Linked DNA regions of Arabidopsis thaliana. The protein of the gene in region 3 interacts with the protein of the main gene of each other region in a pairwise test. Each region holds a gene or a part of one and is shown on either strand. Other genes may lie near its edges.

Region 1 (5,613 bases), on a different chromosome or scaffold from region 3:
CTAAATATATATCTTAACCAAACAATTAAAAAAATAAAAGAATTTAGATACGTAGTTATTAATATAGACCATTAGATTGAAAAATAAAAATTAAGATCTATGGCTGAGATTAAAGACAATAAATGGATTAATTTTTTGATGTTAAAATCTGATTAGAAAAAGGTATTTCTCTTCGTCTCTAGAACTAAATCTCTCTCTCTAAAAAAACAATCGTTTCTCCCTTTCTCCTTCCTGAAGATCGTTTTTTCATAAATCCATAGTAGTTTAAAAACGAAGCAGAGAGATGTTGAAAATCGTTTCTCATGAAATTAATCGATTATTCTCTGTGAAGTTCTTTAATCCACACAACTTTCCTCATGAACATGATAATAGTAGTAAATGGAGGTTTTTCCTATGGTTACTCTAGACGAAGGAGGATCTCCTTGTGTTGGACAGGTTTGTGATTTCTTTCCATGGATTAAAAAAATTTGATTGTTTGTTTATGATGAACGATTCTTTGGCTACGGAAGAGTGTCATGGAGTTCTGGCGAATTCTTTGGCTATGTTTGGTGATTTCGTTTTTAATCAAGTTGGGAATCAATAGGAAACAACTAAGCATACAACATAGATTAGAAGAGATATCAAGATGGATCTAATTTAAGTAAGATTTGGCGACTAATTCTAGATGATTAGGGTTATTTGTGATTTATTACAAGGCATTTGTGTTCTCATTGATTTGGCGAGTAATTCTGTATGACTAGGGTTATTTGTGTTTTCTTAAAAAGAATTTGTGTTCTTGTTGAAATCTTGTTCATTGGAATTATTTGTGTTTGGTAAATCTTCATTGGTGGCTAAGGATGTGTTTGTAGCTCTTACGGCGTTTGTTATTGGTGATGTCCATTATGGATGGCAAATTATGGATGGCACATTATGGATGATGAATCATGGATGACATATTATGGATGACGCATCATGGATTGTATATTATGGATTGATATGGTGAGATTTGTAAATCTTTTGGTCTTACATGTTAAGAGTAAAAGATGAAGAATTGGAGAAGCATGTCTAACATCCTAAAAACAAGCTATATGCGGTTGATTTGCTACAAATAATTTTTTGGTATCCATAATAACAAATCCATTTAAATATATCCATTCAGAAACCTTTCTACTGATCCGTATCCATTCTATATACCATGTCAATAATAATAGGAGATTCGATTAACCGTGTTTTGTAAAGAAACCAAAGTTCCATGTCCATAAGGTTTTGAAGGTGGAGGTCTCTGCAAACTGAAAAAAAAATCAACAAACAATTTTTTGGTGTCCATAATAACGAATCCATTTAAATATATCCATTCGGAAACCTTTTTACTGATCTATATCCATTTTATATAACATGTCCATGATAACAGGAGATTCGATTAACTGAAATCTCGATGCTACGTAGATGAAACGAGTTTGACACATGAGAGAGAGCAAAAATCAAATCAAACCGCCATTGTTGAAGAAGAAGAAGTTTCTTCTCATTTTTTACAAAGATGAAGAGAGAGAGAGGTGAAGAGAGAGAGAGAGATGAAGAGAGAGAGAGAGAGAAAGAGAGAGATGAAGAGAGAGAGAGAAAGAGAGAAAACGTGGGTTAAGATAATATTTTAGTTAAGAGGGTATTTTAGTAAAAAAACATAAAAAAGTGCCTAATCTTTTGAAAGTGCCTAAACACAGAAATAGTTTTAAAAAAGTGTTTAAGAGTGTAATATTCTCTTTTTTTCACCTAGATTCCTTCTATTGACCGTCGATAGACGGATGATAACTATGACGTGGCATTATCGCAGCCATCAAACAAAGTCATGTATAACAAAGAAGAGCACACAAACGAAAACAAATTCAGTTGCGGAACCCAAATTCAAATCAACGGAATTAGAATCACGCTTTCAATTCCGTAACCCGCCATTAAAAACCTTGAACCCTCGAAGCAAATCGAGCAAAGATTTTCAAATTTCGAATTTCAAAATTCTATCTCTCTCACTCTTCCAAGCTTAGAGACTCTTAGAGCGAGAAAATGATGGCTTCTCTTAAGTAAGTGATTGATCTCTCTCTTTCTCTCTACTACGATTCTTCTTCTTCTTCTCCATTCATCGTTTTGGTTTAAGCTTTGTCTTAAGTTTTGTGTACCTGACTCGCTTCTTCTCGTTTTTATTTTGTTTTCCGATGATCCTGATCTGTTTGTGTTGTTTCGGATTCATAGAGCTGAAGAAACGAGCCAGATGCAGCTCGTTGAGCGTGAAGAAAATGATGAAGACGAAGATCTATTTGAGATGATTGACAAATGTAAGATTTGAATTCGTTTTCAACTTTTACGATTCTTCACTTTTTCGTTTCAAATCTTCATCATCTGTTTTGGAATCGTCTCTGTGTGTTTATCTCTTCTAATTTCGCCCACTTTTGTTTATCTAAACCTCGTTGTTGCTTAATCGCTGGGTCTTATGAAATCAGATCTAGAATCGTTCATCTAATTTGAGGAATGTTCTCGCAATCTCTGTTAGATTTCGAATTTAAGTATGAATCTAGGATCGATATTGATTTCTGAACATGGTTCTCCTTGGTAACGAATAGTTTATGGTCCATTTCGTTTACTGTTTGTGGAATTCGAGTGTATATTAGTGTACATAGTTGTTTGATTTCTGTATCTGGCTAAAATCTCTAGCTGATTTGATCTCGGGACTTTTATTTTTGCTTGTGTCAGTGATCGCACAAGGTATAAACGCAGGAGATGTGAAAAAGCTACAAGAAGCTGGGATCCATACCTGCAATGGTCTCATGATGCATACCAAGAAGGTATTAACCAGCTTATTTAGCTTTGCTCATTGGGTTTATACTATGTAGATGTTGGTTGCATGAGTCGATTGTTTAAACTTATGTTTGATGCAGAACCTTACTGGAATCAAAGGTTTATCTGAGGCCAAAGTTGACAAAATCTGTGAAGCTGCTGAGAAAATTGTGGTAAGTTTAACGTTTCCATCTGTTGTTGCTATATCAGTGTTACTTTCTGCATTTGCGTCATTTTAATTGTCAAACCATTTCTCCTTCAGAACTTTGGATATATGACTGGAAGTGATGCTCTTATAAAGGTTAGACTCATTGTTGCTTGATCCCACTAACAGAACTATTAGATTTTGATATCCTATTCAACATTTCATATTAGATATTGAAACTTACAAGTTGTTTTTTAATTGTTTACAGAGGAAATCAGTTGTAAAAATCACTACAGGGTGTCAAGCTCTCGATGATCTCTTAGGAGGTATGCTAAGTTTTGCTTTAGATTTTTGCCATCTTGATCACACTACTTAAGTTCTGGTTTAATTATTTCACATTTCTTGCTAGGTGGAATTGAAACCTCAGCCATCACAGAGGCTTTTGGGGAATTTAGGTGAGAAACAGCTGAGCCAAGCTCTATAAGTTTCCTGTTAATAGCTTGTATTCTTATAGAGTTTAATTTCACTTCAGGTCTGGGAAAACCCAATTAGCACATACCCTTTGTGTCACTACGCAGGTTGGTTTCTTTCCTACAGTCTCAATATGAAATATATGTTGTCTTGTTTACATTTCAGAGGCATGAGATGAGATTTTACTTTCTTTCAGCATATAAACCATTGAGGTACTCTGTCTCTCAATGTCATTGGTATTCATTTTCTGTATTGATGTATTACAGCTACCTACAAACATGAAAGGAGGGAATGGAAAAGTGGCATACATTGACACAGAGGGAACCTTGTATCCTTAATATCTTATAACAAATCTTCTGACCAGATCTTGTGTCTTCATTAGATTGTTTCTATATTCCATGATTTTTCCTTAACCCCTAAATTTTGTAGCCGTCCTGATAGGATTGTCCCAATTGCTGAAAGATTTGGAATGGATCCAGGAGCTGTGCTTGACAATGTAAGCATTATTAACCTCACATCTTTACTTACTCTCAGGACTGTGACTGACATTCAAAAATCTTATTCATCTTGATATAACAGATCATTTATGCTCGTGCTTATACCTATGAGCATCAGTACAACTTGCTTCTTGGCCTTGCTGCAAAAATGTCTGAGGAACCATTTAGGATTCTGGTAAGTAAAACATGTCTGATAATTTTAGTTTAGTTATCCATTCAAATATGAGTTAAATTAGCTGAGTTTTCTGACCTTGTTTCCAGATTGTTGACTCGATCATTGCTTTATTCCGAGTGGATTTCACTGGAAGAGGAGAACTCGCAGACCGCCAGGTTAAACTTGCCTCCCACAACATTACTTACATTATCATTGGCACAATCTGGCTTTGCTCAATAGTCCCAGTTTCTGTGTTGCAGCAAAAACTAGCTCAGATGCTTTCCAGGCTAATCAAAATTGCAGAGGAGTTCAACGTTGCTGTCTACATGACTAACCAAGGTTTACTTTACACTAGTTTGATATAATGAGATAAAGCATCAATTCTTTTTTTGTTTCTTGGTTGCACTAACTTAGCAAGTATCATCTGTTTCATTTGGTGGTTTGCAGTCATAGCTGACCCAGGTGGTGGAATGTTCATATCAGACCCAAAAAAGCCAGCAGGTGGTCATGTACTAGCTCACGCAGCCACCATCAGGCTCTTGTTCAGGAAAGGCAAAGGCGATACACGTGTCTGCAAAGTCTACGATGCTCCGAATCTCGCTGAAGCTGAAGCCATATCCTTTTAACCAAATCCACACACACACACTTGCTTTGTTTTTGATTATTTCATATAATGCAATGACTTCATTTTTTTCCTTAACTGAAGAAATCACAGTTTCCAGATTACTCAAGGAGGCATTGCTGACGCGAAGGATTAGAGGAGCGAACTCTTTTATATGTCATAATCACGAATTATGTCTGTTCTTAACTTGCTGCTTGTTTCTGCATCGAATCAGACGTTTTAATTAAGTCTTTTTATTCTTAGTTTCTTGTTTACCAAATAAGACGATCATTACTTGATTCGGCTTACAAAACCAATCTATGTATCTGATAAAGCTGCAAACAAAACAACTCTGGTTCGTTTGTAAAAAGACAATAATGGCTTTATAACAAGTAACAAGTAAAAGTTCATTATGATCATTGATTAATCAGTTGCACTGAATAATGTGTTATTCCTCTCCAACTTATTCATCTCTATTTTAGTGGATGAAAAAACTCTTTAAATTTCTCTTTTTTATTCATCTAAGTAACGTAAAATAGAAATGAAAGGGATGAATAATTTTAATCATCTCGTTTTCTCACTTTGCCAGTTTTTTCCTGCACATCAATCGATTTCATAATTGCTGCAAAACTCTCATATTGTTTTGTCTCCTCTTTTGGGTTCCATGGCAATATGATACTTTTCAAGTTCGACAAGTCTCATCATGTTTCGCTTATATCGACGGTTTTCTGAACTGCTTTGTCTTCTCCTTTTGCATCCTGGAGGTTGCTTGATTTTCACTAAACTTGGAACATAAGGACACACATATAGCCAACTATCTTGGTGGGCAGGTTCTCCGAGATCAACATCTCGGACTTGTCCAGCCTCTCCAATGATGAAAACTTTGTCGCGTTTCAACGGTTGCCCGAAAATCACGGCGACTTTGTTCACCTCGTCAATGAAG
Region 2 (4,687 bases), on a different chromosome or scaffold from region 3:
AGCAATTTTTCATCCTGAATAAAACAAATTTTGACCAGTTTTTATATATAATTCTTTAGCAACTGAATTTTTTTTTTAAAAAAAAATTCATGGTTTAATTTGTTTGTGAATATTTTTTTTAAAATAATTTATGTGATTTCTAAATAAGTAAACAATTGACTTAAATATATTAGATTTCTTAGCAAGAAAAAATTGATGAAATAAATAATTTATAATTTTGAACTTATTAAATCAATAAAGGTCCATAGCTCAGTGGTAGAGCAATTGACTGCAGATCAATAGGTCACCGGTTTGAACCTGGTTGGGCCCTATATTTTTTCAATTTACCAATAATTTTTTAGAAGAGCTTTAGTTATATATTTGATTAGCATTTAGCATCAAGTAGTTGACTAATCTTATATTTCAACGTTTTAGCTAGCAATTTTTCATCTTGAATAAAACAAATTTTGATCAGTTTTTGTATATAATTCTTTAGTAACTGAATTTTTTTTAAAAAAAATTCATGGTTTAATTTGTTTGTGAATTTTGTTTTTTAAATAATTTATGTGATTTCTAAATAAGTAAACAATTGACTTAACTATATTAGATTTCTTAGCAAAAAAAAATTGATGAAATAAATAATTTACAATTTTGAACTTATTAAATCAATAAGGGTCCATAGCTCAGTGATAGAGCAATTGACTGCAGATCAATAGGTCACCGGTTCGAACCCGGTTGGGCCCTATATGTTTTCAGTTTACCAATAATTTTTTATAAGAGTTTTAGTTATATATTTGATTAGCATTTAGCGTCAAGTAGTTCACTAATCTTATATTTCAAGGTTTTAGCTAGCAATTTTTCATCTTGAATAAAACAAATTTTGACCTGTTTTTGCATATAATTCTTTAACAACTGAAATTTTTTTAAAAAACTTTCATGGTTTAATTTGTTTGTGAATTTTTTTTTATAAATAATTTATGTGATTTCTAAATAAGTAAACAATTGACTTAACTATATTAGATTTCTTAGCAAAAAATAATTCATGAAATACATAGTTTATAATTTTGAACTTATTAAATCAATAAGGGTTCATAGCTCAGTGGTAGAGCAATTGACTGCAGATCAATAGGTCACCGGTTCGAACCCGGTTGGGCCCTATATGTTTTAGTTTACCAAAAAAAATTAAATATCATCTTGAATAAAGAAAATTGACAAATTTTGTGATATTTGTAATATTTTATTTTTGTTATAATAAGTGATTACTACATTGTTGGAATTGTGGTGGTTCTCGGCGGTCAAACACCTAGGTACCATTTGGTTGACATTCAAACACCTAGGTATCACTCGGCGGTCAAACACCTATTGTTTTTACAAAACGTTAATTTAGTGTTTTAAAAATATATAATTTTAAGTAAAAATAATTTAAAATAAAAAAATAATTTTGAGAATCCATAATTCGATCAACTTTGATAATATCTAACATTTATAATTTCATGCATTTAACTGAAAATTTAAAATTACTATGGTACTTAATTAATAATAAAAATGAGGAGGATTTTGTTGTTGTTTTTGAGTATTTTATAGAATAAGAATTTGGGCTTTAATAGCCTTTAAAGCCCAATATGATCAAGGCCGAGGAAAAGCTGACCCAAACGTAATCGAGACTTGTTGAAGAAGCCTTTGCCCTCATCGTCGTCTTGTATAATAATTTTGGTTGTGGCGCTTCTTTCAATTTGTTTTCAGTTTCGCCATTTCCCTCCACTCTCAAGCTCTCTTTTGCTTCTCTCGCTTTCTCTGGTGACCCGAATCTGCTCTGATTGAGAGAAATGACGACGATGGAGCAGCGTAGAAACCAGAATGCTGTCCAACAACAAGACGATGAAGAAACCCAGCACGGACCTTTCCCTGTCGAACAGCTTCAGGTTCAATTTCTGCAGATTTCTTTCATTTGTTGTGGAAATTTACCTTCGCAGTCTATACGCTTCATCAGATCTTGCGCTAATTGAAATGGGTTCGGCTTTAATTCACTAAAAATTTCTGCTTTTTTTGTACATCGCGATGTGAAATAGGTGTGAATCTGGGCGAGAATTGAGTTTCGCTACTGTCTGTTAGGCGAATTGGTTTTAGGGGTTCGTTTAATTCAGAAAAAAATCGACACTTTTTGGGGGTTTTATCCTTTTCTGGGGAACTTCTCTATTGCTGTGACTCCAGTGTCATATAATCTCTATAGTTCTTCTCAATTCGTGTTCATAAAAGGGAGATGCATCAGTGTGTTTTGTGTTATGATTATATGCTATTTCATCTCTTTAAATCTTCAAAACTTCAGGCAGCAGGTATTGCTTCTGTTGATGTAAAGAAGCTTAGGGATGCTGGTCTCTGTACTGTTGAAGGTGTTGCTTATACTCCGAGGAAGGATCTCTTGCAGATTAAAGGAATTAGTGATGCCAAGGTTGACAAGATTGTAGAAGCAGGTATTACACATGTAGAAACTTTTTGCTTTCCTTCTCTGTTAAATACATAACACCTCTTTGATACTCTTAGAGTTAATGTGTGTTCTTATTTGTGTTTTCTTCTGTGATAGCTTCAAAGCTAGTTCCTCTGGGGTTCACTAGTGCGAGCCAGCTCCATGCTCAGAGACAGGAAATTATTCAGATTACCTCTGGATCACGGGAGCTCGATAAAGTTCTAGAAGGTTGGTGCTGGTTTCTGGTGCATCTTATAACGGCATTTTGTTATTGTGATCTTACTTTGCCGTATGCTCAACAGGAGGTATTGAAACTGGTTCCATCACAGAGTTATATGGTGAGTTCCGCTCTGGAAAGACTCAGCTGTGCCATACACTGTGTGTGACTTGTCAAGTAAGAACCCTGTTCCTATACCACTCAGTTATTGTTGCTTATCTAGCAGAAATCAGTGATCTTGTCTTTCTTCTTACAATTTCCAAACCTGAGAAAGATATTCACATTAAGGTTCACGTTTGAATGATTAGCTTCCCATGGATCAAGGAGGTGGAGAGGGAAAGGCCATGTACATTGATGCTGAGGGAACATTCAGGCCACAAAGACTCTTACAGATAGCTGACAGGTATGTTATTCTTGTAACACACATGAGATCACAATAGCGTTCTTGAGACGGAATCATCTGTAAGAAATCAAATGAAATGATGCAGGTTTGGATTAAATGGAGCTGATGTACTAGAAAACGTTGCCTATGCGAGGGCGTATAATACAGATCATCAGTCAAGGCTTTTGCTTGAAGCAGCATCAATGATGATTGAAACAAGGTGTGTTGAGTTTATTTTGGTGTTCAGTTCCGTTATGTCTATCATGAGAGTGCTAACTTTTAAAGTTACGATGACCCTATTGGCACAGGTTTGCTCTCCTGATTGTCGATAGTGCTACCGCTCTCTACAGAACAGATTTCTCTGGAAGGGGAGAGCTTTCGGCTCGACAAATGCATCTTGCAAAGTTCTTGAGAAGTCTTCAGAAGTTAGCAGATGAGGTGAACATTCAGTACTAACTGTTTCTTTTCCAATATTGCTCTGAGACACCATCCTGAAGTATTCTCTCTTATGTTTAATGGCTCTAGTTTGGTGTGGCTGTTGTTATAACAAACCAAGTAGTTGCGCAAGTAGATGGTTCAGCTCTTTTTGCTGGTCCCCAATTTAAGCCGATTGGTGGGAATATCATGGCTCATGCCACCACAACAAGGTCTGTAATGTTTGCAAATTCGACAAATCCATGTTTCTTAGTGTTTTTTGTTAGGGTTCGTTAGGAAAGTGTGTTTGTTATGATAATTGATACAGGTTGGCGTTGAGGAAAGGAAGAGCAGAGGAGAGAATCTGTAAAGTGATAAGCTCGCCATGTTTGCCAGAAGCGGAAGCTCGATTTCAAATATCTACAGAAGGTGTAACAGATTGCAAGGATTGATGTTTTTGGCCACAACAATGCCTTGCTTCTCTCTGCCTTATGTGCTTTTTTTTAGCAACCCCTTCACTTGTATTGATGTCAAAAAACCGTTTTCTTTTGTTTTTGTTTTTAACTGTTGATCATAGTGTAAGCGTACAAGTAAGTGATGATGGAGCAAAAGAGCTTTGTAAGTAAAGTTTTTCGGGTAATGAACCTTTTGTGTTTCACAAACGCACACAGCCTCGTGGTTTATACAACACTACTAAATTTTAACCCACGGTATACCGCGGAGACAATTTATTTTTTAAAGTTACTATATATAAAAGTTTGCAAATTATATTTATCGTAAAAATATTTTTATTTTATAGTTTACGATTGTTATTAAGTAACGTCCCGCCAATCCGTCCCGTAAAAAAAACTCACTGATTTTATTTATGATATGTTTATGAATCATTGTCTAAATATTTTTTAATTTTGTAGTAATTAAATGCTATCTAATATCTCTGCGGTTTGATGATTATAATCGAATTATTATAGTCATGTAGAAAAACAATATCAAAATGATAATTTTGTAGTAATTAAATGATATTAAATATTTCGGAAGTTTTATTTTAATAACTAATCGTGTAGTTAATGTGAAGAGATTTTGGGAAGATTGTCAAATATTTAATTCAAAGATTTTCTTTCTAATTATCAAAAACAATTATTAAATGCCAGTGGCAGCCACTGTAAATAAATTCCAACTCTAGGATTTATTTCACAAAGTGGCTGCAAAAATGTATATATAGATATATTACTTA
Region 3 (7,678 bases):
CTAGGTGAGGGTTAGGATTGGATCCCCCATCAAAGGCTATGGACAAGAAACTAGAAACCGAGCTGCTCGTCAACGTATACCCAACAGAGTATTTACAGATGAAGACGGAGTGGAGCATGTTGAGGTATTTCATTGTAGAACCTCTATTGCGCTTGGATTCACATTCTTGCTATATAAATTGTCTAGAGTTTTGCAGGTTTAACATGATCAAAATTGAATATGCTTCAGGTAAACTTCTACATCCGTGGGCCTCAAGGAGCAGGGAAAGTGTACACGGAGATGTTTAAAGACAAGGCAGAGAAGGAATGGAAATACACGTACCTGATCGTAGAGATTTTAACACCTTCCCCAGCCAAATTGATGCTGGAGTCTTATTTGCCTGCCTAAAGCACTCGTATTTATGACTCAGCAGATCCGGAAAACATTCAGAAACGGCTTAGATTGTTTTAGTTGGGGTGTTGGAGAAAAGAGAGAGAATTGTGTTACACATGAGCTGTAGGAATGACTTCTTATCAAGCAACTGTTTGCTAATTGAAAAACAAGTCTAAACTGTGTTTATGATCCTCTTGGGGATGTCTAGGATTTTGAACCGAATTCAAGTTTGAGGCTTGATAATATTTTTATGCGTAAACATGAAACAGAGACATGGAGAATGCATATATCATGAAGCATCAAGTATACAATAGAGGCAATCATGGATCAAACGGTGTTTATGGTATCAGTAAGACAGCGGAGAATGCAACCGGGACCAACTCTCTCTCTGAGTTTCCCCGAGCCATCAAGGCTACAAACATCTCGACTACAAGGGCCAATCAAATTACATAATCACGGAAAAAACAAGGATAGATACAAGCAAACCTAACACTCGAGCAATAATTTGAGTAATAGAAACAAGAAACCAGAAATCGAAACGAAACGGAACGAAACACAAGATTTCCTAATTAATCTTGTGTTTAATTAAGAAAAGAAAACACAAAAAAGTTGAAAGGTTTAGTGGTGCATCCACGTAGCAAGACATTTTAGGTGTACGTCGACCATATTGTTGGCCGTTTATAGAGCATCATCCACTCTCCTCGACGAGCAAGATCATGCCGCCTCTGGATTCTTCTCATTCATCGGTGTTCCTGCGATCCCCTCCGTAGCACCCTCCGCCTCCTCAGCGCCTTCCCCGTGTAAATTACCGTTCTGCATGTTTAGAAATTTGACGTGGAAATTGTTGCAATGTAACTTTCTGTGATACTTGGCTATTGTTGCAATGTAATTTTCATTGAAGTCAGTCACCAATGACCATTGAACAGATGTTTTAAAATGTCCACGTAAGCAATTGTTGTTTGGAACGATTTTCGGTTAGCATTCGTGCCTTTTTTACCTCAATAAAAGGCCGTGGCATTAACTCACTTGTCTTGAGACGTTATGTCGTTAAAACCAAGCCCAAAGTTAATTTCGGCCCAAATCGTTTTCAACTTTCCCGCCGTCTTTTAACTTTTTAGATTTTTGGTGATGGTTTTGGGGGGAAAGAAAACAGAAAATATAAAAATAAAATTTCCGCACTCCCGACTCTTGGTGTGGTAGGCAATTCTGAATCGCGAGGTTTAGTTCTCCGGCTGAATCAGAGAACGACGAGTCGGAAAAATTCGAAACTCTAGAACTGAATAAATGTCGACGTGGCAATTATTTCCCGATTCCAGCGGCGATGGTTTCCGGTGGGAAGTCGCTGGCCGGATTCTTCAGTCCGTCTCGGATTCTACGCCAACCAAGGCGCTCGAATCGACAGCTCCTCTACCTTCTATGGCCGATCTCTTGCTCCAAGGTGATTCTTCGTTTCTTCCTTTTTTTGTCGAATCGTGTTTGTCATGTGACTCAAAGGAGATTGAATTATTATTTGATGCTTCAAGGATGCTCGAAGCTTATAGCACGGGAAGAAGCGATGCCTGGGGAAATCCCAATGTTCAGGACTGGGCTAGGGAAGTCTGTAGTTCTTAAAGAGTCTTCGATTGCTAAAGCCAAATCCATTTTAGCAGAGAAGGTTACTTACTCAGGTACTTTATGTGACAGTATTGAATTCCCTTGACTAGTCATTTGTTTCTGAATTCCCTTGAATTGTTACTTAATGTTGGTGAAAATGGTTTCCTGAAAATCTTTTGAATGTTCCATGTTCTTGGCTACACTTTAGATTTGCGGAACACAAATTGCTCAATTCCCCAAATGAGACAAGTGGATACAGCTGAAACTTTGCCAATGTTCAGGACGGCCTCGGGGAAATCTGTCCCTTTGAAAGAGTCTTCAATTGCCAAAGCTATGTCTATTCTAGGAAGTGATAAGATTATTGACTCAGGTGTGTTCTTATCTCCTCTTTTTTAAAGTCTTATTTCCAGTATAGCTGTGTGCGCGTTTACATATGAACTTGTTCTTTGTGCTGCTACTCCGTTCAACTTCCAGGTTCTTGAGTTTGGTTGTTATCAGATGAAATGATGAATAGTGAAGAACTAATCAACACACATCTTACTTCGTTTAGAGGATGAATATTAGAAGTGACATTTTTTCATAGTTTATTTGTTAATAAGATTCTTTTTGATTGTGTAGACAACGTTCTTCCCAGGGAGAGTGGATTTGGAGTTTCCAACAGTCTTTTTCAGACAGCTTCCAACAAAAAGGTTAATGTATCTTCTGCCGGTTTAGCAAGGGCCAAGGCATTGTTAGGACTAGAAGAAGATGATTTGAATGGATTTAACCATGTGAACCAGTCGTCTTCTTCCTCCCAGCAACATGGGTGGTCCGGATTAAAAACTCATGAGGAGTTTGATGCTACAGTAGTTAAGCATCATTCAGGAACTCCAGGACAATATGAGGATTATGTATCTGGGAAGAGATCTGAAGTCTTAAATCCATCTTTAAAGGTGCCTCCAACAAAGTTTCAGACTGCTGGTGGAAAATCATTGTCAGTGTCAGCTGAGGCGTTAAAACGTGCCAGAAACCTTCTTGGTGACCCTGAATTAGGGTCTTTCTTTGATGATGTAGCTGGAGGTGATCAATTTTTTACACCAGAGAAAGATGAAAGGTTAAGTGATATTGCTATAAACAATGGAAGTGCCAACAGAGGTTATATTGCTCATGAAGAAAAGACAAGCAACAAACATACGCCAAATAGTTTTGTATCTCCTCTTTGGTCATCTTCAAAGCAATTTAGTTCAGTCAACTTGGAGAACCTAGCTTCAGGGGGTAATTTGATCAAGAAATTTGATGCGGCTGTTGATGAGACCGATTGTGCTCTGAATGCTACACATGGACTATCAAATAACAGGTCTTTGGCATCAGATATGGCAGTGAATAATTCCAAGGTAAACGGTTTCATTCCAAGAGGTAGGCAACCTGGAAGGCCTGCTGATCAGCCACTTGTTGATATAACAAATCGCAGAGATACAGCTTATGCATACAATAAACAAGACAGTACCCAAAAGAAAAGGCTGGGAAAGACAGTCTCCGTTTCTCCTTTCAAAAGGCCAAGGATTTCATCCTTTAAAACTCCTTCAAAGAAACATGCTCTGCAAGCTTCAAGTGGTAATATATATGATTAATTTTTTTAAGAATTTTTTATGTTAATCTAATTGGTTGGTTCTCAGGTTTATAGTTTTGGTGTCCTGTCTATTATCAGGTTTGTCTGTTGTATCGTGTGATACACTTACTTCCAAAAAGGTGCTTTCTACAAGGTATCCAGAAAAGTCTCCAAGAGTATATATCAAGGACTTTTTTGGAATGCATCCAACAGCTACGACCAGGGTAAATTCTTTTTGTCCCTTTCAACTGTTCCTGCGTTACATAGCTTTTTTCTTCATTCACTCAAACACACTTACGAGGTGGTTTTTAGATGGATTATGTGCCAGACCATGTCAGAAGAATCAAATCAAGTAATGCAGATAAATATGTATTCTGTGATGAGTCTTCTTCAAACAAGGTTGGAGCTGAAACTTTTCTTCAAATGTTGGCTGAGTCTGGTGCTTCCTTACAACATGCATCCAGAAAGTACTTTCTCTGTCCCTTGAAATGTTAACCGTGTTATTTGTTTATTATATCAGAAAAAGTGTGTGACCGTTCTTTTGAAGCTTGCATGTGATTGTCACTCTATTAGATAGACAGTGAGTATTGATGTCTATATCTATTAACTTATCCATCACTACGTATGCACTAGGTGGGTCACTAATCACTATAGGTGGATAGTCTGGAAACTTGCATGCTACGACATATACTACCCAGCCAAATGCAGAGGAAACTTTCTGACAATCACCAATGTTCTTGAGGAACTAAAATACAGGTTTCCCAGTCTCACAACACAACTCGTTACTTAAACTCATGCAAAGTCTAACATGGTTAATCTTTCTTAATAGATATGAGAGAGAGGTCAATCATGGTCATTGCTCTGCAATCAAGAGGATTCTGAGTGGTGATGCTCCAGCTTCTTCAATGATGGTGCTCTGCATATCAGCTATTAATCCAAAGACCGATAATGATTCTCAGGAAGCACATTGTTCTGATAGTTGCAGCAATGTGAAAGTAGAACTCACTGATGGGTGGTATGAAATTGCTACTGCTATTCTGTTACCTGTTTTCTTGACTCATTTCCATATGATTTTTTTTAAAAAAATCACAGGTACTCGATGAATGCTGCTCTGGATGTCGTACTAACAAAGCAGCTGAATGCTGGCAAATTGTTTGTCGGGCAGAAGCTTCGAGTAAGTTATTTTCATGCAAGATATACTTTGTTTTGCAACACAGATTTTGGTTAGATCACTGACTTGCAGCATGCTTACGTTCTTATCTCTTATCTGAAGATCCTCGGGGCAGGACTTTCTGGCTGGGCTACCCCAACATCACCACTTGAGGTTTCCTAGACTTTGCATTTTATAAGATTTTCTGATATCTTCTCAGGTTGGTTTGTTCATAAGAGTTTCATTCAACCAAACTTTCAGGCAGTGATTTCAAGTACAATCTGTTTGTTGTTGAATATTAATGGGACATACAGAGCTCACTGGGCGGACCGACTAGGCTTCTGTAAGTAGCTTTATGCTGTGGGCCTCACTACATCATCTGAGTTCTTATTGCTTTCATATTGTTATCTTTCCATTGATCGTTTATAATCTCTTCCTTCCTCAAGGTAAAGAAATTGGTGTCCCTCTGGCTTTAAATTGTATCAAGTGCAATGGGGGTCCAGTGCCTAAAACGCTAGCTGGCATCAAACGAATATACCCCATCCTATACAAGGAAAGGTCAATATAAATGTGTGCCTGTTAATGCATTTTGGTCTTCTTTATACTTCTCGCAAAGCATTATATTTTCTTGATGTATACAGGTTAGGTGAAAAGAAGTCAATAGTTCGATCAGAGAGAATAGAAAGTAGAATTATACAGCTGCATAATCAGAGGCAAGTTTCCTTATAACTGTAGAGAGCAATTTTTAGTAACATTGATGTGATCAATTTAGCACATGCATCTCTTTCTAAGAAGTGTCAGATTAACTCATCAAAGCTAGAGACATTTTGTTACATACAACAATTTGGTGGCGTCACCAAGTTGCAGCCTTGAACCATTTGCTCTTTTCATTTTAAATCCTAACATGTTATAGAGCATATAATTATAATTATCATGCGCAAATCGGCATGTATCAATTTAGTTATATTTATCATGTGCAATTGTGCATGTATCAGTTTACATACATTATATTATCATGCAGATTATGGGAATCTTAGCGGTTCAAACGTCTTAAAGTACTGCATAACTACATATAGTTTGACTATACATAACTACTTATTTATGGCTATGATCGTAAATTTTAGTATAAATGCAATATTCACTGTTAGAATACGATATTCAAATTCGTTTTCAGAATTCAGAGAACAAAAAGTAGATAAAGTGACCTTGGTTTATGTTGTTTTGGTCAAATTTATCGTTTATAAGTTTGCTAGCTAATGTTATACTATTTGCTAACATATAATTAAATGTTGAGTGCTAATCTCGAATTTTTTATTAGAAAAGACAATCTTTGTATTTATTAGAAAAGCTTCTGGCCTTCTGATTATGGATGGTTTTCCCAACAAAAGAGCCAAAGATTGCAGTTCGTCATGGTTTATTCTCATTCATACTTGCCTTTTTTTTTTCTTTCTATTTTCCGTAGGCGCTCAGCTCTTGTTGAGGGTATTATGTGTGAGTACCAGAGAGGAATTAATGGTGTTCACAGCCAGAACGACACTGACAGCGAAGAAGGAGCCAAGATCTTTAAGCTGTTAGAGACGGCTGCTGAACCTGAATTTCTTATGGCAGAAATGAGCCCAGAGCAGTTGAGATCTTTCACTACATATAAAGCAAAATTTGAGGTAGAATAGTAATTTCCTTTTCTTGATATATTGATTACAGTAATTAACTGCTTCAATCTGAACCTCAGGCAGCCCAGCAAATGCGGAAGGAAAAATCAGTGGCAGAAACTCTGGAAGACGCTGGTTTAGGTGAAAGGAACGTCACCCCGTTCATGAGGATTAGGCTTGTTGGCCTGACGAGCTTAAGTTATGAAGGAGAGCACAATCCAAAAGAAGGCATTGTAACAATCTGGGATCCCACGGAGAGACAGGTACATTCAAATGCCTAAATCTGAATGTTTCATGCACAATTTAAAACAAGGCATTTTTCTAATGGCTAATAAGTTTACACGGACCTTATCCATATGAGCTTATATGGAACGGGGAGTTCCAAATATAAGCTTTTCAGAGTTGCTGTGGACCTCGAATGGACTGAAATGCATATCAAAGAATCGTTACCATCACTGTACTGTTGCATTAAGAGCATCATCGATTAGCTTGTTCAACTTTTTTCTTGTAGATTCTTAAAACAGTTATCATTGTCTACTACTGTGACAGAGAACCGAGCTGACAGAGGGGAAAATATACATGATGAAAGGGCTAGTACCAATAAACTCAGATTCAGAAATACTTTACTTACATGCGAGAGGGTCAAGCTCAAGATGGCAGCCTTTGTCTCCTAAAGATTCTGAAAATTTTCAGTAAGTGGTTTTCTTTAGTAGACACACTGGAATCTATCTCATTAATTTGTTCAATTTCCCTGATGATGTTTTCAGGCCCTTTTTCAACCCTCGTAAACCAATCTCTTTGTCAAATCTTGGTGAAATTCCTCTTTCAAGGTTAATCTCAGTAGTCCAAGCTTTTTATGAAACACTCTTTACCGCACTTTGCTAATCTATACCCTGTCATCTCTAATTATGTCCTTCAGTGAATTTGATATCGCTGCGTACGTTGTATATGTTGGAAATGCATACACGGATGTTCTACAAAAGAAGCAGTGGGTGTTTGTGACAGATGGATCCGCACAACATTCAGGGGAAATCTCAAACAGTCTTCTTGCTATAAGCTTCAGCACCTCATTCATGGATGATAGCTCTGTTTCCCACATCAGCCATAATTTGGTTGGATCCGTGGTATGTACAAATTCTAATCTTTGTCTAGTTTTACACAGAGAGAATATGCACCAAGAGATTAAATTTTGAAAAATATATGCTTGTTATGGGTCTTAATTTTTGGCAGGTCGGATTTTGCAATCTAATTAAAAGAGCAAAGGATGTGACAAACGAAATTTGGGTTGCTGAGGCAGCAGAGAACTCAGTCTACTTCATAAACGCA
Region 4 (3,833 bases), on a different chromosome or scaffold from region 3:
AAACAAAGAAGACAAGTTGACTCATATACCTCATCAAATCTTATGAGAGTGACGAATAATCGGATATCTGCTTCAGTGAAAGTGTTTCCGCAGATGTATCGTTGTTTTCCGAGTACTTCCTCACATCTATCTACTGCTTCATATAACTGGTTCACTGCCTGGAGAGAAAAGGGATCAATTTTTGAATCCCTGTTCAAATGTTTAAGACATTGAGGGATATATACCTCATTATAGGGTTCTTGTTTCCTTGCAAACCCACATTTATAAACACCGTTGTTTATTCCGTTGAAAACCCATCCGTTAGTCTCGTTGATTACGTCTCTGAGATGAGAAGGATAAAGGTCAAGTGACGGGGTTTTCGCAATACCATTGAACTCAGTGTTGAACATCCGGATTATCTCTGAACTCTCATTGTTAACAACAGTCTTAAGCTTCTTATCCCAAAGAACCTAACATAATAACAAAACAAACATTCAAGAAACAGGACAAAGAAAGATTAAAGAGTTCACCAAAGAGATCAAAACTTACAGGAACAGTGTACTTCCCTTCATAGTTTGGGCTAGCAATCTCGTAGAGTTCTCTCACACTTTTGGCACCATTAAGATAGTCAGGCTCAGCTCCAGGGAGCTCGGTATCCGAATCCGGGAAAACCCATCCTCTATGATCATCAGTTTCCTTGGTTCTTCCCCAAATGGCATGAACCGACTAATCAAATCAAATAAAACAGAAATGCTTCAGGTTAACAAAGTCTTCTAATTCGATATGAGCAATGAATTTGTACTAACCGAGAAGGTGATTGCTTCATCAAGTCCTTTGATCTTTAAGTAAGAAAGACATCTACAAGCCCATGGACAAGCATAAGATATGTAAAGATGGTATCTTCCTGATTCAGCTGGAAACTGAGAATCAGGATCTTGTGAAACAAAGTTGCGGAATGTTGATGCTGTTCTTACAAAAGCTCCAGATTCTGATGTCTCATCAACCCCAGACCTAGCCATTTTGCTACTAATAAAAAATCAAACACGAAAATTCACATGACAAACGAAAAGAATAAAAATTTCAGAATGCACAATTTTTCTTTTTCACCTCAATAGAGTGAGTAAAGTTGAAAACTTTGAGAGATTTCTTATAGATGGTCACTTGTCACATAATCAATCTCAATTTTCTCTAGGTAAAGGATCACAGGAAACGAATCAAAGCATCAAAAAGTTCAGAAATTTCGAGTAGGGTTTTACTTAATTATCTCATTAGAGCTAGAAAAAGGTTAAAATAAAATGTTCATAATTCATAGCCTTCAAATATGATTTTCAACATTTATGGATCATTGGGCCAAAATCAAACCCAGAACTCAGAAAATGTCTAACAAGAACATGATTCATGCAGAGAAGAAGATAAGAGACAAAACCTGTTGACGACGATGTTATGTATTTGGCGTCGAATGTCGCTGTTTTGTGGCGATAAGGTTAAAGAAGAAAAAGTGAGCTTTAAGGAAAAATGGTAATGAGGGATGTCATCTTATAGTGAAAGAGAAGGAATCCGAAAAAGGACTTTGCTTTGTCTTCACTGCTCTGTCACGCCTAGCGAGTTAACTCAGACTAACGAGTTGACTCAGCTGGGTTCTGTGGGGAAAGCGTGACAACTTTTGGACCGGTTTGTATGTCATGGATTTGGTCAAGACGAATGCGACTATTGGACCGGTCTAAAACAGCTTCTTTTAAACCTCAATCGGATATTTTTAATATTGGGTCGGATTCGGTATGAATCATATAAGATTCGGGTCGGATTCGGTATGAATCATATAAGATTCGGGTCGGTTATTGGAAATTGGTAATTTTCCCCTTCTTCAAGTTAGACCCAAAACGAAAAAAAGGTTCGTTTAAAGAGCTCTGGTTGGGTTTAACTTGGAGGAATTAATCGAGTTTGGTGATCTTCTTCTTAGGTTTTTTTCTCGATCTGGTTGATTTGCTTAAACATCTGTAACTATGGCGGCAGAACCCAAGGCAGCTGTCGAAGTGGTGAAGGTGGATCTATTCGAGGACGACGATGAGTTCGAGGAATTTGAAATCAACGAAGGTGATTTTTTTGTTTTATACTAATTGCTTCTTTGATTTTCGAAATTGATTCATCATCGGTTATAAAATTAATGGAGATAAGAGCAAATTTCATTAGCAACTGATTTGGTGATTGATTAGGTTTTGGTATAAATACAAATTTTGATTCTGCACTGTCTTATACAAACTAAGATAGTCTCTATTGTATGAAGTTGGGTAGTTCTGATGCGAAAACGGATCTGTTTGATATATGTTTATGATGATGAAGCTACGGTCTCATAAACTTGATGGATAATAGTGCAGTTTTATGAGCAAACTACTGGTGATTATGTTTGCATTATTAATCGGCAAGGCTTCATGAGCTAAAGGGCCTAAAGGTTATGGTGGATTTAGGAATTATTTGGGGGCATTGAGTAGCTTGGGGGAGAGTTGTACAATTCAACTTAAGCTAGGATCAGTTTCTGATTTTAACAGATTTTGCTTTGCAATGTTAGTTCAGTCTTGAGATTTAACAAATAGCTTTATTGAAAGAATTGATAAAGATGGATATTTTTATTGTTATGTTTGGCAGATTGGTTGGAGAAAGAGGAAGTGAAGGAAGTTAGCCTGCAGTGGGAAGATGACTGGGATGATGATGATGTCAGTGACGACTTCTCGCGTCAGTTAAAGAAGGAGCTTGAGAATGCTAGTGAGAAGAAATGAGGTCCAAGATTGCGAGAAAGGCAGGTCTTCTCATTTAGGGAACCTTGGCTTTTTTGTTTGAATTGCATCCTTTGGTTTATCGTAGCATGTATCGGTTCTCCTTTTCCTTTACACATTATACTCTTCCTTGGATGCAAATTTCTCGTCTTTGAAGATGATAAATTTGAGCTGATAGTAATTCTATTCTGATAATCACCATCTTCTCTCAACACAGTGCGGTGTGGACATGGATTGGTTTACTATGTACATCACAAAATAACCGTAGAGATAACATTCAAATAGACATAGCTGATGTGCGTCACAACATTACATATAGTGTTAGCGTCCACAAGCCAGAAGCGAGAAAACATCATTTTGTTTCTAATATTAACATAAAATCTTGTGCAAGACAACAACCAAAAACGGAAAGCCTAATAACAACTTACCAATTTTCAAAAAGTTCACATCAGGCATAGGCATAGGGTATATGAAGACAGCAAAGATAAATGTAGCAGTCAAAGCCCTCAAGAAAACTTCTCCAATACCTAATTTTCTTCTTCTTCTTCTTCTTTGGAGAGTTTGGTAGTAATCTTGTAACCTCTTTAACAATGGCACCGACAAGAGCAAATTCGTTCCTGCAAAATGAGTGAAAGAAACTGATTAGACGACCTTACCACAAAGTCGATCTTACTACAAAACAAGAGTTCTATTAAATATTCTATTACATGTGTGCTTCCAAGCTCAAGCCAATCCTCCCTGTAACAGTAGATGACTTCAAGGATTTTTCCCAACTTTCAACCATCATTGGTTCCATAGCAAATCTCTCTTTTGTGTTTCTAAAATGTATTCCAAACTCTCCCTCAAGTCTTCTCACTTCGTTTGTTTTCACACTGTAGAAGACTGGAATGACCACGAGTTTTCCTTCCTTGGCAAGCTCTTCCATCTTCACAAGCTCGTTCAAACACCGATATGACTCAGAATACCTCTTTGAGAAGATGGCAAGCGCGATATTCGAGTTCTCTATACTCATGAACACTTCTTGTTTTTGTCCACTTCCTATAAGCTTGAAGCTGTCTTTGAAGACATTGATCCCTGAGTCTC

The links.
Region 1: the proteins of BRCA2(IV) (region 3) and DMC1 interact in binary tests that used the Arabidopsis thaliana proteins (3 or more experiments, as listed by UniProt).
Region 2: the proteins of BRCA2(IV) (region 3) and RAD51 interact in binary tests that used the Arabidopsis thaliana proteins (3 or more experiments, as listed by UniProt).
Region 4: the proteins of BRCA2(IV) (region 3) and DSS1(V) interact in a two-hybrid assay, tested with the Arabidopsis thaliana proteins (one study listed by BioGRID).

Annotation. Positions count from the first base shown.
Region 1 is NC_003074.8:8,097,162-8,102,774, reverse strand, and holds DMC1 (DNA repair (Rad51) family protein), read left to right. Parts: upstream 1-1,842; 5' UTR 1,843-2,034; coding exon 2,035-2,051; intron 2,052-2,220; coding exon 2,221-2,303; intron 2,304-2,718; coding exon 2,719-2,810; intron 2,811-2,903; coding exon 2,904-2,975; intron 2,976-3,064; coding exon 3,065-3,103; intron 3,104-3,215; coding exon 3,216-3,273; intron 3,274-3,356; coding exon 3,357-3,402; intron 3,403-3,479; coding exon 3,480-3,525; intron 3,526-3,684; coding exon 3,685-3,746; intron 3,747-3,847; coding exon 3,848-3,914; intron 3,915-3,997; coding exon 3,998-4,090; intron 4,091-4,176; coding exon 4,177-4,245; intron 4,246-4,329; coding exon 4,330-4,408; intron 4,409-4,516; coding exon 4,517-4,683; coding exon of another isoform or gene 4,684-4,695; exon of another isoform or gene 4,696-4,736; intron 4,737-4,782; coding exon 4,783-4,827; 3' UTR 4,828-5,097; downstream 5,098-5,613. Other genes in the region: AT3G22870 (F-box and associated interaction domains-containing protein), read right to left, coding at 5,304-5,613. UniProt on the Arabidopsis thaliana protein: May participate in meiotic recombination, specifically in homologous strand assimilation, which is required for the resolution of meiotic double-strand breaks. Mediates interhomolog recombination during meiosis.
Region 2 is NC_003076.8:7,069,979-7,074,665, reverse strand, and holds RAD51 (RAS associated with diabetes protein 51), read left to right. Parts: upstream 1-1,699; 5' UTR 1,700-1,805; coding exon 1,806-1,901; intron 1,902-2,305; coding exon 2,306-2,450; intron 2,451-2,560; coding exon 2,561-2,671; intron 2,672-2,745; coding exon 2,746-2,837; intron 2,838-2,968; coding exon 2,969-3,063; intron 3,064-3,148; coding exon 3,149-3,262; intron 3,263-3,350; coding exon 3,351-3,480; intron 3,481-3,567; coding exon 3,568-3,689; coding exon of another isoform or gene 3,690-3,753; exon of another isoform or gene 3,754-3,784; coding exon 3,785-3,908; 3' UTR 3,909-4,175; downstream 4,176-4,687. UniProt on the Arabidopsis thaliana protein: Binds to single and double-stranded DNA and exhibits DNA-dependent ATPase activity. Unwinds duplex DNA. Component of the meiotic recombination pathway.
Region 3 is NC_003075.7:4,343-12,020, reverse strand, and holds the start of BRCA2(IV) (BREAST CANCER 2 like 2A), read left to right. Parts: upstream 1-1,656; coding exon 1,657-1,810; intron 1,811-1,895; coding exon 1,896-2,039; intron 2,040-2,173; coding exon 2,174-2,335; intron 2,336-2,583; coding exon 2,584-3,558; intron 3,559-3,652; coding exon 3,653-3,777; intron 3,778-3,865; coding exon 3,866-3,992; coding exon of another isoform or gene 3,993-4,020; intron 4,021-4,073; coding exon 4,074-4,107; intron 4,108-4,186; coding exon of another isoform or gene 4,187-4,207; coding exon 4,208-4,309; intron 4,310-4,382; coding exon 4,383-4,568; intron 4,569-4,645; coding exon 4,646-4,727; intron 4,728-4,826; coding exon 4,827-4,877; intron 4,878-4,964; coding exon 4,965-5,046; intron 5,047-5,149; coding exon 5,150-5,261; intron 5,262-5,344; coding exon 5,345-5,416; intron 5,417-6,165; coding exon 6,166-6,364; intron 6,365-6,432; coding exon 6,433-6,615; intron 6,616-6,901; coding exon 6,902-7,044; coding exon of another isoform or gene 7,045-7,048; exon of another isoform or gene 7,049-7,119; coding exon 7,120-7,182; intron 7,183-7,271; and 4 more. Other genes in the region: SD3 (import inner membrane translocase subunit), read left to right, coding at 5-124, 229-387. UniProt on the Arabidopsis thaliana protein: Involved in double-strand break repair and/or homologous recombination by mediating RAD51- and DMC1-facilitated DNA repair. Plays an essential role in both somatic and meiotic homologous recombination.
Region 4 is NC_003076.8:18,166,371-18,170,203, reverse strand, and holds DSS1(V) (DSS1 homolog on chromosome V), read left to right. Parts: upstream 1-1,820; 5' UTR 1,821-1,982; coding exon 1,983-2,073; intron 2,074-2,622; coding exon 2,623-2,753; 3' UTR 2,754-3,198; downstream 3,199-3,833. Other genes in the region: AT5G45020 (Glutathione S-transferase family protein), read right to left, coding at 30-158, 225-449, 529-705, 786-998; AT5G45000 (Disease resistance protein (TIR-NBS-LRR class) family), read right to left, coding at 3,199-3,367, 3,458-3,833. UniProt on the Arabidopsis thaliana protein: Subunit of the 26S proteasome which plays a role in ubiquitin-dependent proteolysis. Also associates with the TREX-2 complex that is required for transcription-coupled mRNA export.